3 linked regions of the Canis lupus familiaris genome follow. Each later gene encodes a partner of the first gene's protein in a complex. Links are inferred from orthologs where the notes say so. Each region holds a gene or a part of one and is shown on either strand. Other genes may lie near its edges. The genes, in order: EPS15, AP2A2 and STON2.

Region 1 (3,523 bases):
TTATATTGCTAGAGGCTAAGGTTGTCAAATATATTAAAAAACAAATGAGTCAACAAGCAATCCAACTAAAATGTGGGCAGAAGACGTGAACAGACATTTTTCAGAAAAAGCATACAGATGGCCAACAGACACATGAAAAGATGGTCAACGTTACATATCAGGGAACGGCAAATCCCAAACTACAATGAGATATCACCTCACAACTCTCAGAATAGTTAAAACTAAAAACTCAAGAAATAACAAGTATTGGTGAGTTTGTGGGGAAAAAGGAACCCTCGTGCACTTGTGGGAATGCAAACTGGTGTGGCCAGTCTGGAAAACAGAATGGAGTTTCCTCAGAAAGTTAAAAATAGAACTGTTCTAGGATCCAGCAATTTCACTATTGGATATTTACCCAAAGAATACAAAAATACTAAGGGATACACACACCCAATGTTTATGGCAGCATTATTTATAATAGCCAGGGATCCCTGGGTGGCGCAGCGGTTTAGCGCCTGCCTTTGGCCCAGGGCGCGATCCTGGAGACCCGGGATCGAATCCCACGTCGGGCTCCCAGTGCATGGAGCCTGCTTCTCCCTCTGCCTGTGTCTCTGCCTCTCTCTCTCTCTCTCTCTGTGTGTGTGTGTGTGTGTGTGTGTGTGAGAGAGAGACTATCATAAATAAATAAAATAAAATAAAATAAAATAAAATAAAATAAAATAAAATAAAATAAAAATTTATAATAGCCAAATTATGGAAGCAACCGTAGTAAGTGTCCATCAATAGAAGAACAAAGAAAGATAAACGATGGGTGTATATACATATATATACACACACACACAGTTGTATATATATATACATATATGTATGTATATATACACACACCGTGGAATATAAATAAAAAGAGTGAGATCTTGCCATTTACAATAACATGGATAGATCTAGAGAGTATAATGCTAAGTGAAATAAGTCAGAGAAAGGTGAATACCATATGATTTCACTCATGTGGAATTTAAGAAACAAAACAAATGGATAAAGGGGAAAAAAATAGACAAACTGACCATAGAAAACAGAATGGTGGTTACCAGAAGGGACGTGGGTGGGGAGATGGATGAAATAGGTGAAGAGTATTAAGAGTACACTTATGATAAGTAATGTACAGAATTGTTGAATCACTATATTGCACCTCAGGAACTAATATAACACTGTATGTTAACTGTACTGGAATTAATTTTTTTTAAAAAAACAAGAAAAAAGTGAGTCAATTTGCTCATTTAAGTTTTATACCTGTAGGATGGCAATAGCAAAGTTATTTTTTAAATCCTAAGTAAAATAGTATACTACTGTATTAAATAGATCTAAGGATCTTCAGCAAAGTAAGCATGTATCACTATCGAAGTATCAAGGCAAAAAGGATGGTTTGTTGGAGAGAGCAGTGGACTGGGAGCTTAAAGATCTGGGTGCTAATTCTGGATGTCCTCAGACTAGCTCTGTGATCTTCAGTGTGTAATTTCGTATGCCTGAGCCTCAGCTGTCTGAGCTGTTAGATGGTGGCAGTAACTAATTTGCCTACCTTCCCAGGAATGTTGGAAGGATCTAGTAAGATATGAGATATGAACATCTTTTGTAAGATGTTATACTCATGGAAAGACTCTGTTATGATTGCTATTACCAGTTTAACACATTTTAGGAGAAGTACATATTTGAAAATATTTTAACACCCGTAATTATAATTTTCCTTCAAGTAAGTTTAAGACTTTAAAATTGGAGAACTTGTTTCAAAATGAGTTCAGCAACAGTACTGTTGTTTGGTCAAAGATTAGTTTATCCACAACCACAAAGATTTAGGCCCCGAGCTTCAAAACATTCTCTATTCTTCAATTTGAAATATTGTAGATGGCAAAAAAGTAAGTGAGGTTTTCCAAGATAAGTTTTCATTGTGTTCCCAGGTGTCACATGTAGATCCCGTAAAAGCAGTAACCCAGAGATTTTTCTGAGAAAAATCAGAAGAATATGGTCATTTTTCAAAGGTCATTTGTTCCTATTGCCTCTAGTAGTTAGTTGTTATCAGGCTGAGATTACAACAGCAGAGGCCATTTCTGTCTTTCTGTCATCCTCATCCTGTTTCATCCTTTCCTCTCTCTCTCTCTTTGAGAACATGCTGCTTTGGGGAAGACAAGGTTTACACTCTGGGTATAAATATGATTCCTGGCCCGTTCCATTCCCTTTTGCTATTTTTTCATTTAGCTACATAGAGCTGCAATGTATTTGAGAGATTATGTGAAAAATTTGAGGACAGACCATTTGTGTAGTCATTTAAGACCATACTTTAAGAACGTACTTTTAGGCCCTTACCTCCATTCCCCCACTCCCAGTTCTTTAATTCTCTGCGTGTTCATGGTCTTGTGTGTTTGTTTGCCATATTTGCTTGTTAATTGTAATGATTTTGATCCAGGGAAAAGACCCATCAACAAATTGGATTCTTCTGATCCTTTTAAACTGAATGATCCATTTCAGCCTTTCCCAGACAATGATAGCCCCAAAGAAAAAGATCCTGATATGTTTTGCGATTCATTCACTTCTACTACTACTACTACTACCACTACCAATAAAGAGGCTGACCCAAGCAATTTTGCTAACTTCAGTGCTGTAAGTACTGTGAATGGGCTGTTTGGGGGAAAAATCTTTCCATTTACAGTTTAAAGAGTTTTCAGTGATTACTTTGGAGTCTGCCAAATTTGCATCATTTTAACTAAATTTACCAACATACTAAAAATGATCTATATTCCTCCCCCAACCAAAATTTCTGTTTGATTCTGTTTTGAGGATTCTAACATTGTTCCATTGCACAAAGGGTTTTAGTAGTCTTAGTCTTTGTTGATGTATACCACTTGTTTTGCAAACCCTCCCTTTAGTCTTAGTAAACAATATAAATAAAATCTTGACAGTTACTGTTTTGCAAATTGTTATGGATAATGGACCATTAGAGAATCATTTGCTGTCTGCCCACTGGATAAATAATGGCAATAATGAGCTTGTGTATTTGTAACTGTGTATGTGTGTTTGTGTATAAAGTTTTGACGATTTCTAGAGACCTGCCAGCAACTATTATTATATGAGAGGATAAAGCCAGGGATTCTTTGAAAAGCGAAACTCTGGTTTTTATATAGTAGTGTTTTTAAGATATAAATGTCGATTTTATGAAATAAATACAGTTGTCAAGAGCTAAACAGTCTTTATTTGGACAGTTCTAATTCATTAACCTTCCGTATTTACTCTGCATTCTTCCAGAGGCACACCAGTAGAAACAATGGAAAGGTGCTGGGATAACACATAGATAGGGCCAAAAGATCACAGAAATGGGGCAACCAACTATGGAGGTGTCGCTCTAGAGAGACTTAAAGCAGTGATATATATAGTCCATCGTTCAGATAAAAATGAGGCTGGCTTGCTTTATTTATTTGTTTGTTTGTTTGTTTATTTTTCCAACTTTTGAGTCCATACTGTAAGTTCCATTGGCAGCTTCTGAATGTGCAGAGTAGAA
Region 2 (4,200 bases), on another chromosome or scaffold:
ACTCCTCTCCATCAGCTGAAGAAACCTAAGGCTCAGCAGCCACTGGCTTCAGGTCATGGAGCAGGTGAGAGGCAGCTGGGTCTCTCCACAGAGCCTGGCCACATCCATCACATTCACAAGAAACCAATGAGCACACAAAATCTGAGGTGGGAAAAGGGGAAGCTGGAGCCAGCTCCCTGCCCCAGGGGGTTAAGCTCAGATGGCTCTGGTCATCCATCCGGCCAGGGTTAGCTTTCTGACCCTATCCCCAGCCACAGCCAGCCTACACATGCTCAGAACGTTCATTCCCTGCTGCTCCATCACATCTTGGCCCTCGACCTGCAGTGCTCTTTAGACAAAATGGGCATGAGAATCATCTTGAAGCTAAATCCTTTCTGGCTCACTCATCTATTCATTTACTAGGCTCGTGTCTCATGCCAGATGCTGTGCAAGCAGCGGAAAGACATGACAAGCAAGACAGATGTGGTGCCTACCTTGTGGGGTTCATAGTGAAGGGGAGGGCACAGCACCACAGACCCATGACACCGCTCTAGAAGTGCGGCACTATGACAAAACAAAGACCAAGGGCAGCATGAGGTGGGAAAGGTGGTCCTGAGGAAGGGACTGTAGTAAACAGAGACCTGGCCCCAAGAAAAATGAGGCAGCCCTTCCTCCTTAAGCTCCTTTGGGGAAGAGACTATCCTATTCATTGGTCTATATCAGTAGGCCCTCAACCAGAGAAAACTCTGCCCCGTAGGGCAACGTCTGAACACACCGCTGGTTGTCACAATGGAGGCACCTCGTTGTATGGAGACCAGGGATGCTGCTGTCCAACACCACTGGACAGCTCTGCACAAGAAATAACCCAATCTCAGCAGTGTGGGGGGTGGAGAAAGTCTGCTCTAAGGTCAGTCAACAAGTATCTGCCGAGTCCTCCCATATGGCAGGCAGTTACCTTCCACTCAACTGCAGACCTAGCACAGAATACATGTCTAATATGCAGGTGACCGGCTGTCAAGAAAATGGGTTTCAATCTCAATGTCTTTCTTGCCCACTGCATTCTTCTTCCAAAATGGAAGAACTGACATCACTCCTAATTTAAGGCTGCTAAGCCTTTAGCCAAGGGTCCCCCTGCAGTGATAGCGCACACACACTCAGCTTTACAAAAGCTGAAATCACATTAAATAGCACAGGAAGGAAAAGAAAAATATTGCCTACTTGTAAATACTCCGATCTGAGTGTGCTACCACTCCGATTTCTCGATTTCTCGCACAGGAAGGGGAGGGACAGAAGATCAGAGCTTCTCTGGGGGAGAAGCAGGCTGGCATCTGGGTGCCCCCGTCTAAGGAGGTGAGGGCTTCAAGGCAAGGCTCAACACAACAGCATCTACCAGCAAGTGAGGTTACAGACTCTCTTCAAAACATACATTAACCCTAAGGCAATAAAAATCAACTATCTGGCAGGTAATAAAAAAATAATAATAAGATGCAACAGATAGGAAAACTGGTTTTGCCTTTAATTTCTTTAATTAAATAAAGGAGAGATCTCCGAAGGCTGTAGCTTCTCTACAGACGGAAGCCCCCACCTGCCTCCTGGCTTGTTTCGCTTCTGGTGTGGATTTCTTCCACTGTGAGGGGACGCGAGTGTCCCGAAGAAGGGGCCAGCAGCCAGGGCAGCCACCCGAAAGCCACCCCACCCTCCACTGCCCTGTGTCTGCACTCCTGGGGGGAGTGAGTCATTTCATCAGGGCCTAATAAGCCACCAGGACCCGGGCGGAGCTGCCTCCCAGGCAAGGCAGCTTTCGCTGCCCCCACTCCCAAACTGAAAATCCACGCTATTTTGGAACACGCTGGGTTAAATGCTCCATTACTAGAAAGATGAGCAGACTGCTCCAGATGACATCATGCTGGGGGGGGGGGGGGGTCTTCACCAGAACCCTGTCGAAGACGCCACAGCCCCCCCACGACTGGAGAACCCCACCTGCCCTGCACCCCGCACCCCTGCTCACTGTTCCCTGACCCGCAGGCCCCAGGCCCAGCCCCCGACTCTGCCTCCCACAGGCCTGCGCCCTCCTCGGCGGCCCTGTAGGTCCCTCGCACCCCAGGCCCGCGCCCCCGACCTCTGCCCTCTGGGCCCGCACCCAGACCCCCAGACCCCCGCCCTGCACCCCGACCCTACGCCCCCGGACCCCCCGCCCTCCATGTCCACACTGGACCCCGTCCCGCCCCCCCACCGACGCCTGCCCTCCGGGTCGGCACCCGGACCCCGCCCCGCGTCCCCGCGCCCCCGCGCCCCCGCGCCCCCTGCCCCCAGGGTCTGCACCGGCCCCCGCGCCCCCGCGCCCCCTGCCCCCGCGCCCCCGGTCGGCTCCGGGACCCCGCCCCGCGCCCCCTGCCCCGCGCCCTCGGGGTCTGCACCGGCCCCCGCGCCCCCGGCCCCCGCGCCCTCGGGGTCTGCACCGGCCCCCGCGCCCCCTGCCCCCGCGCCCCCCGTCGGCTCCGGGACCCCGCCCCGCGCCCCCTGCCCCGCGCCCTCGGGGTCTGCACCGGCCCCCGCGCCCCCGCGCCCCTCGCCCCTCGCCCCCGCGCCCCTCGCAGGCCGGGTCCCGCGCCGCCGCCACTCACAGTTGCGGATGTCGGAGATGAAGACCGCCAGGCCCCGCATCCCGTCCCCCTTGGACACGGCCGGCATCTTCGGGCCCGGGGAGCGGCCTGGGCTGGCGGGCCGGGAGGAGGAGCCGAGAGCGGGGAGCCGGGAGCGGGTCGCCGCCGCCTCAGGAGCCGCCTCAGCCGGAGCCGCCTAAGGCTCCGAGAGCCGCTTTCAGGGCCGCCGCGCGCGCGCACGCACGCACGCTCGTCTCGCGTGCGCGCGCACGCTCGCCCGCGGATCGCCGCGTGCACGCGCGCGCACGCGCGCGCGGCTGCGGGCGGAGCGGGGACGAGCGCGTCGAGGCAGGTGCGGGGGCGCCCCCTGCAGGCGGGAGCACGGGGTTCGTGTCCGAGGCTCCCCATCCGCCCCCCACGACCCTGTCCAACCCAGGCTCTGGGGCAGCTTACTGGTCTGCGTCCGGAGCCCCGAGGGCCTTACGTGCACGTCACCGCTGCCCAGGGCCACCAGCCCCTTCCTGAGGCCTGAACACGAAGGACTGCCCACCCCCACCCCCTCCCCGCACCGCACCCTCGGACCGCGGGCCGGTCTAGACCTAAAGCCCTCCAGGCCCGGCCAGAGCCCTGTGCCATCTGCCACCACCCACCACCTCCTCTTGCCCCAGACGTGAACACGGAGGACCGTCCCTGTGGTCAACAGAGGCCTGGAGCCTGGACCACCCACCCCACACTCCCCCACCCTTCCACCCCCCAGTCTGTGTGGACAGCAGGTGGCCCTGTTGAGCTCCCTTTGTGAAGCCAAATGGCTTCGAAAAGGAAGCTTTCTCCTTAGGGGGAGAGGGGGGTTGTCTGGGCCCCAGAACCTGGTGCAGGCCCCCACCCACAAAAGAGGTCTGTCCCTCCCTGGCTCACTTCCTCAGTTCCCAGGGAAAAGTCAGGGCTGGCTAGACCCTGGCCGGGAGGAGGAAGGGGTGGGGCCCCTGCCACAGACGAGGCGCCCCACCCAGGCTCTGGGCCTGCAGGACCCCCTGGGGGAAACCGGAACCCTGGACGCTGGAATCCTTATAAGGAAGCAATTTCACCAGCCTCCAAGACCTTCTGAAGAGCTGGGCCTGGAGAGGGCTTCCTGGAGGAGGGGAGATCCACAGGGAACACATCCTGGCACCTGGAGATAACCCTCCCATGGCCAAGCCAGGGGACTCAGACAAGCAGACCCTGACCCACTCACGGCAGCCACTCATGGAACAGGACGATGCCCAGAGGTTGCAGGGACCTACGTGGGGCATGGACAGACTGCCAGCTCAGGCAGAGGTGGAAGGCTTCTCTGAGGGAGGCTTGGAGTTGCGCAGACATCCTACCCGCTTTCAGAGATTCTGGGCCTCCCAAGCCTCCTGACATTCCCCAAAGTACGTCTTTGGGGAGGGGGTCATGAAAAAGACCCCACACTGTCCCCCAGCTCCCAGACCTTGCCAGACACACAGCTCTCAGATCATTATTACCATGAGATCTCGGACCTGAGTCCACTCAGCCCTACCCAATCACGGCCACTCCTCTGCAAGGGACAGGCCACCTTTATGAGTATGAAGTGCTTGGAAACAGTTTCGTAAGTTGTGTG
Region 3 (3,998 bases), on another chromosome or scaffold:
ACTGTCCCTTCTACTCAGCCATGCCTCACTGTCTGCAATTCAAAACAAACCATTCCCCATACCACTGACACTGGGTTGGGCTATGTGACTTACCTTGGCCAATGGCATAAGAATTGAAGTAATCTGCTACTTCTGAGCAGGTATTAAATGCCACATTTTTGTTTTATCATGTTCTCTTTTTTCCCATTCCCATAAATGAGATCGGTATTGTCCCAGAAAGAGGCTGTTTCTTAAGCCTCTGGGAGACTCAGAATGAAAAGAGATAAGGAGCAGAACCACTGACCTGCACTGGACATACAGCATAAGTGAGAAATAAACCTTGTAAGCCATTGAGATACGGGGGTTGTTATTTTGCCTAAGCTGATCATTACAGCACACTTGGTCTCCCATTGCCTCTCTGTCTGGAATGTCTCTCTCCTCTGCTCTTTCCTTCCAATCCTACCTCAATCCTATCTTCATAAGAAACTTGCTTATCATTCTATATTCAGCTCAGGTGTTATCCTCTCAATCAAGTCTTTTTTTGTTCCTAGGTATAACAGATCGACTCCCACCTGCAGGATCCCCTTTGGATGCTACAGGCCTGTAACTATGTCCTTGGAACTTTGCTGGGGACTTTCCATTCATTAGTACTATCCTTAGAACAACTCCTCTCAAAAAAAAAGGAAAAGAAAAAAAACTGAGCCCTCATTTTACAGAGTGAGAGACTTTGGCTCAGAAAAGCAAGGCAACTTGTCCAGGTTTCCTAATCATGGGCCACAGAAACAGAGTTTTCACAGAGTGTGGGTCTGGCTCTGAGCTCAGCAATCCTTCCTGTGCCCCACACACCCCCCTCACTCCTCCATCAGCAAGCTTTCAGATCCTCCCATTCTGAGCCAGTAAAAGTCTCCCTATCAACAACTTAAAAGGATGTGGAATTAATTTGACACTTGAAAGACTTGCATCTGGAAGTGGGCTTCTTACCCCCTGAGAAGATAATCACTTTCTCTAAGTGGATGGATTTATTCGAAGGCTCCTGGCAAATGTGCATTTTGTACCTTTCCCAGGTAGTGTGGTGTGATAAGACAGGCAGAGTCCCACTGACACTGCCCTATGGAACATTTGGATGGGTCCTTTCAGGTTTGTCATAAAGTAGGATGCTAAGTTCAGAATTCCAAGGAAGTCAGCCACACATTGATATTTTAGGTAAACGAACAAGAAAAGCGTAGAAAAGTGACATAGTGGCAAAGAACTGAAGTAGACCACCCAAGTCAGACACTGGAATTACTGCCTAACATGAGAACTACAATTTTAGGTTTCTAAGAGCTGCTGGCATTTTGTCGTGTGGTTGGGTTTTTTATTTGTTTTTCTCCTCCTTCCCTTCTCTTTAAACTCTTTTAACCGAGGACTGGAAAGTAGAAGAACCTTCAAGTCCTCCCCCATCAGTCATACCAATCAAAGATGAGCATTCAACAAAGTTACCAAGATATTCTCCTCATGCAACATTCATAACAATCCAAAACAAAATTTTTCAAGCTTTACAACGCTTTTCTCGGTTACTAATTGGAGTCCATTTATCTCTTCCACCGTTCCAACAGGTTTTTTTTTTTTTTTAATCCCTCAAAGGATGGATCCTTTAAAGGTAACATTAATGATTGCATTTTTCCCCTGTGAGTTCAGAGCTCCAAATGGTCACCGGGCCAGTTAGGATACATCTGATGTAAGAGCCAGCAGTTACTGGGTACTTAGCTTTGTGTTGGATGTCCCTCCCCCCTCCCCCACCCCCCACACCCCTGTCCCCCGCAGTGGTTTATTTAATCCTCAAAACAAGGCTATGGAGCAAATGCAATCATCTATCTGCACCTTTTACAGATTAGTAGAGTGAGGCACATGGAGCATGAAGGACCTGCCTGAGAGAGAGAGTCTGTCCCTTACAGAGGCCAGGAGCTGCTGCACAAGACGATGGTTAATGATTCACCCACAGCCCTCAGGGAGCTCCTTTCAGCAGGGGCAACAGATGCACTTACACATTCTCTCTCTCTCTCTTTCTCTCTTTCATCTTCAACTCTTCTTTACCCAGCAAGAGGCGGGTGTCCAACAAATTGCTTGGCAACGCGCGGAGGAAACTCCATCCAAAGCCCGGGTCTGCCGGGTCCAGCCGCCTCTGGGCGCTGTCCAGCGGGCAGAGCGCCTGAGAGGCCAGGCAGGGGTCCTGTCTCCGGACACCCCGAAGGTGAGGCGCAACGCCAGGGCCGGGATTTCGCGCGGGGAGGGCTGGAAGGGGGGAGGGGGAAGGCACTGTCCCCGGGGACACCTGTTGCCGCCTCCCCACTCGGGCCGATAGAGATGCCGCGGGGACTCACACCTCCGAGAAGACACCCGTCGGCAAACAGCGTCCGCGTGTGGGTGAGGGAGTCGCAGGTGTCTTCCCCGACGACCCCCCCACCTCGCCCGCCTCGGCCGGGCTCACTTCACCCCCTCCCGCCCCTGCACGCCAGCGGCTGGTGGAAATGTCGCGCCCCCCCCACCCCCGGGCTCCGACCGAGGCACGCGCGGAGGGGTGGGGGCCCGCGGGGCGAGGGGCGGCACCCGCGGCGCTAGGACCCCGCGGCGGCCCGCCCCCGCCCCCGCCCCCGCCCGCTCCACCTGCGGGGCCCCACCGGCGGGGCACGCTCGCCCGCTAGCGCGGAGCGCGGGCGCCGTTACCTGCGACACCGCCTGCACCGTCCGGAGGGCCGCCGCGGGAGAGCAGCCGGGCCGGCCCGGGGAGCGATCCTCGGCGGGCCCCGCCGCTCCCGCTGCCCTCCCTCGCGCCGCAGCGCCGCCGCCTGCTCCCGGCTCTCTAGGCTCGCTCCGCGCCCGCCGGCTCCCGGCGCCGCTCCCGCCGCCCCTGATTGGCCGCCGCGCGCGCCCGAGCCGCGCCCTGATTGGACGGCCGGGAGCCGGGGCGGGGAGATGGGCGGGGCGCCGCCTGGACCCGCTCCCGGTGCCCGCGGCGCCGTAGCCCCGCGTCCCGGCTGCACCGCCCCGCGGAGACCCAGGCGCCGAGCCGGGCCCCTGCCGCCCCGCGCCGAGCAGTAGCGCGAGGAGCCTGCGGGTGGCGGAGAGTGGGGATCGCCTTGGGACCCCTCCCATACCCCATACCGGGGCTGGCGGGGTTAGGGGCGGGGGGGGGGGGTCCTTGCTCCTCGGGCCTCACTCCTACGTGGGATTTTGACTTCGTGTTCATTTTTATGCTTTTTGCTGTAAAAGAAAAAAAAAAGGCGTAGGACAGTGGCTTGTAAACAGCGGGCGCCAAATTGTGTGTGTGGACGCACGATCTATCTCCAGGTGGTCCAGCCAGACTCAGCAAAAGAAGGAAGCAACTTGTGCGAGGTCCTAATCGCATTAAATTAAGGAGAAGCGAGAAAGATGGTGAGTCAGATCTTCCTTTACAAGGACCTTAATACCCACCTAGGGAGATAAGGCTGAATAATAAAGCTGATAGTAATAATAATAATAATAATAATAATAATAGTCATCCTAACTTTTCCCATGGCACATATTATTTGCCTAGCACTTTCCTAAATGCTTTGCATCTATTAACACAGAAAAACAGGAAACAGCCGACCTAGGGATGTCCCATGTCCTGTGAAACGTGTGGCCAAGTGCCGTCGGTCTGGAGTGTGAGACATTTGCATCTTGGAAGACACACCAGCAGTCATTCCACGCTGCAGTTAAGAGGCACAAGTTAGAATGGAGAGAGAGCATCGGGAATTAAAATTGTTCTCCTCTTCCGTTTCTTCTCCCGTAGTTCTTTACCTCCCAACACTTTGTCTCACCTGAACTGGGGCTTTCTAAAGAATAAGAACAACCAGTCTCAATCAGGGTGCTGCCAGAACTTTGTTTTACCACCCATAAAAGGAGCCCCCTCTAAGCATCCGTAGGCCACAGTGAGTAGAAACAAGTAGCACAGTTTATATTTTAGCACCTTTGACGTTGGTTGCATGGGTGCCTTGAAACAAATATGTAACCACTGTCCC

The links.
Region 2: the proteins of EPS15 (region 1) and AP2A2 are in contact, whole or in part, in a crystal structure (PDB 1KYU), measured with the Mus musculus proteins. The link is inferred for Canis lupus familiaris from reciprocal best matches to the Homo sapiens genes EPS15 and AP2A2. Residues at the interface, in NP_031969.1 of Mus musculus: Asp629, Pro630, Phe631, Lys632; in XP_006536218.1 of Mus musculus: Phe442, Phe443, Trp446, Lys447, Asp487, Pro488, Val494, Arg511.
Region 3: the proteins of EPS15 (region 1) and STON2 are in contact, whole or in part, in an NMR structure (PDB 2JXC), measured with the Homo sapiens proteins. The link is inferred for Canis lupus familiaris from reciprocal best matches to the Homo sapiens genes EPS15 and STON2. Residues at the interface, in NP_001972.1 of Homo sapiens: Leu139, Gly148, Lys152, Pro153, Val154, Leu155, Leu156, Asn157, Ser158, Lys159, Val162, Asp163, Leu165, Gly166, Arg167, Trp169, Glu170, His176, Gly178, Met189, Val192, Tyr193, Leu196, Glu197, Lys198; in NP_001353779.1 of Homo sapiens: Trp309, Arg310, Ala311, Thr312, Asn313, Pro314, Phe315, Glu318, Gln321, Asp322, Gln324, Pro325, Ser326, Ile328, Asn329, Pro330, Phe331, Phe334, Phe335, Glu337, Gln338, Glu339, Arg340.

Annotation. Positions count from the first base shown.
Region 1 is NC_049236.1:9,930,975-9,934,497, forward strand, and holds part of EPS15 (epidermal growth factor receptor substrate 15), read left to right. Parts: intron 1-2,434; coding exon 2,435-2,628; intron 2,629-3,523. UniProt on the Homo sapiens protein: Involved in cell growth regulation. May be involved in the regulation of mitogenic signals and control of cell proliferation. Involved in the internalization of ligand-inducible receptors of the receptor tyrosine kinase (RTK) type, in particular EGFR.
Region 2 is NC_049239.1:45,693,612-45,697,811, reverse strand, and holds the start of AP2A2 (AP-2 complex subunit alpha-2), read right to left. Parts: upstream 2,813-4,200; 5' UTR 2,671-2,812; coding exon 2,604-2,670; intron 1-2,603. UniProt on the Homo sapiens protein: Component of the adaptor protein complex 2 (AP-2). Adaptor protein complexes function in protein transport via transport vesicles in different membrane traffic pathways.
Region 3 is NC_049229.1:54,040,714-54,044,711, forward strand, and holds the start of STON2 (stonin-2), read right to left. Parts: upstream 2,811-3,998; 5' UTR 2,683-2,810; intron 2,210-2,682; exon of another isoform or gene 1,993-2,209; intron 1-1,992. UniProt on the Homo sapiens protein: Adapter protein involved in endocytic machinery. Involved in the synaptic vesicle recycling. May facilitate clathrin-coated vesicle uncoating.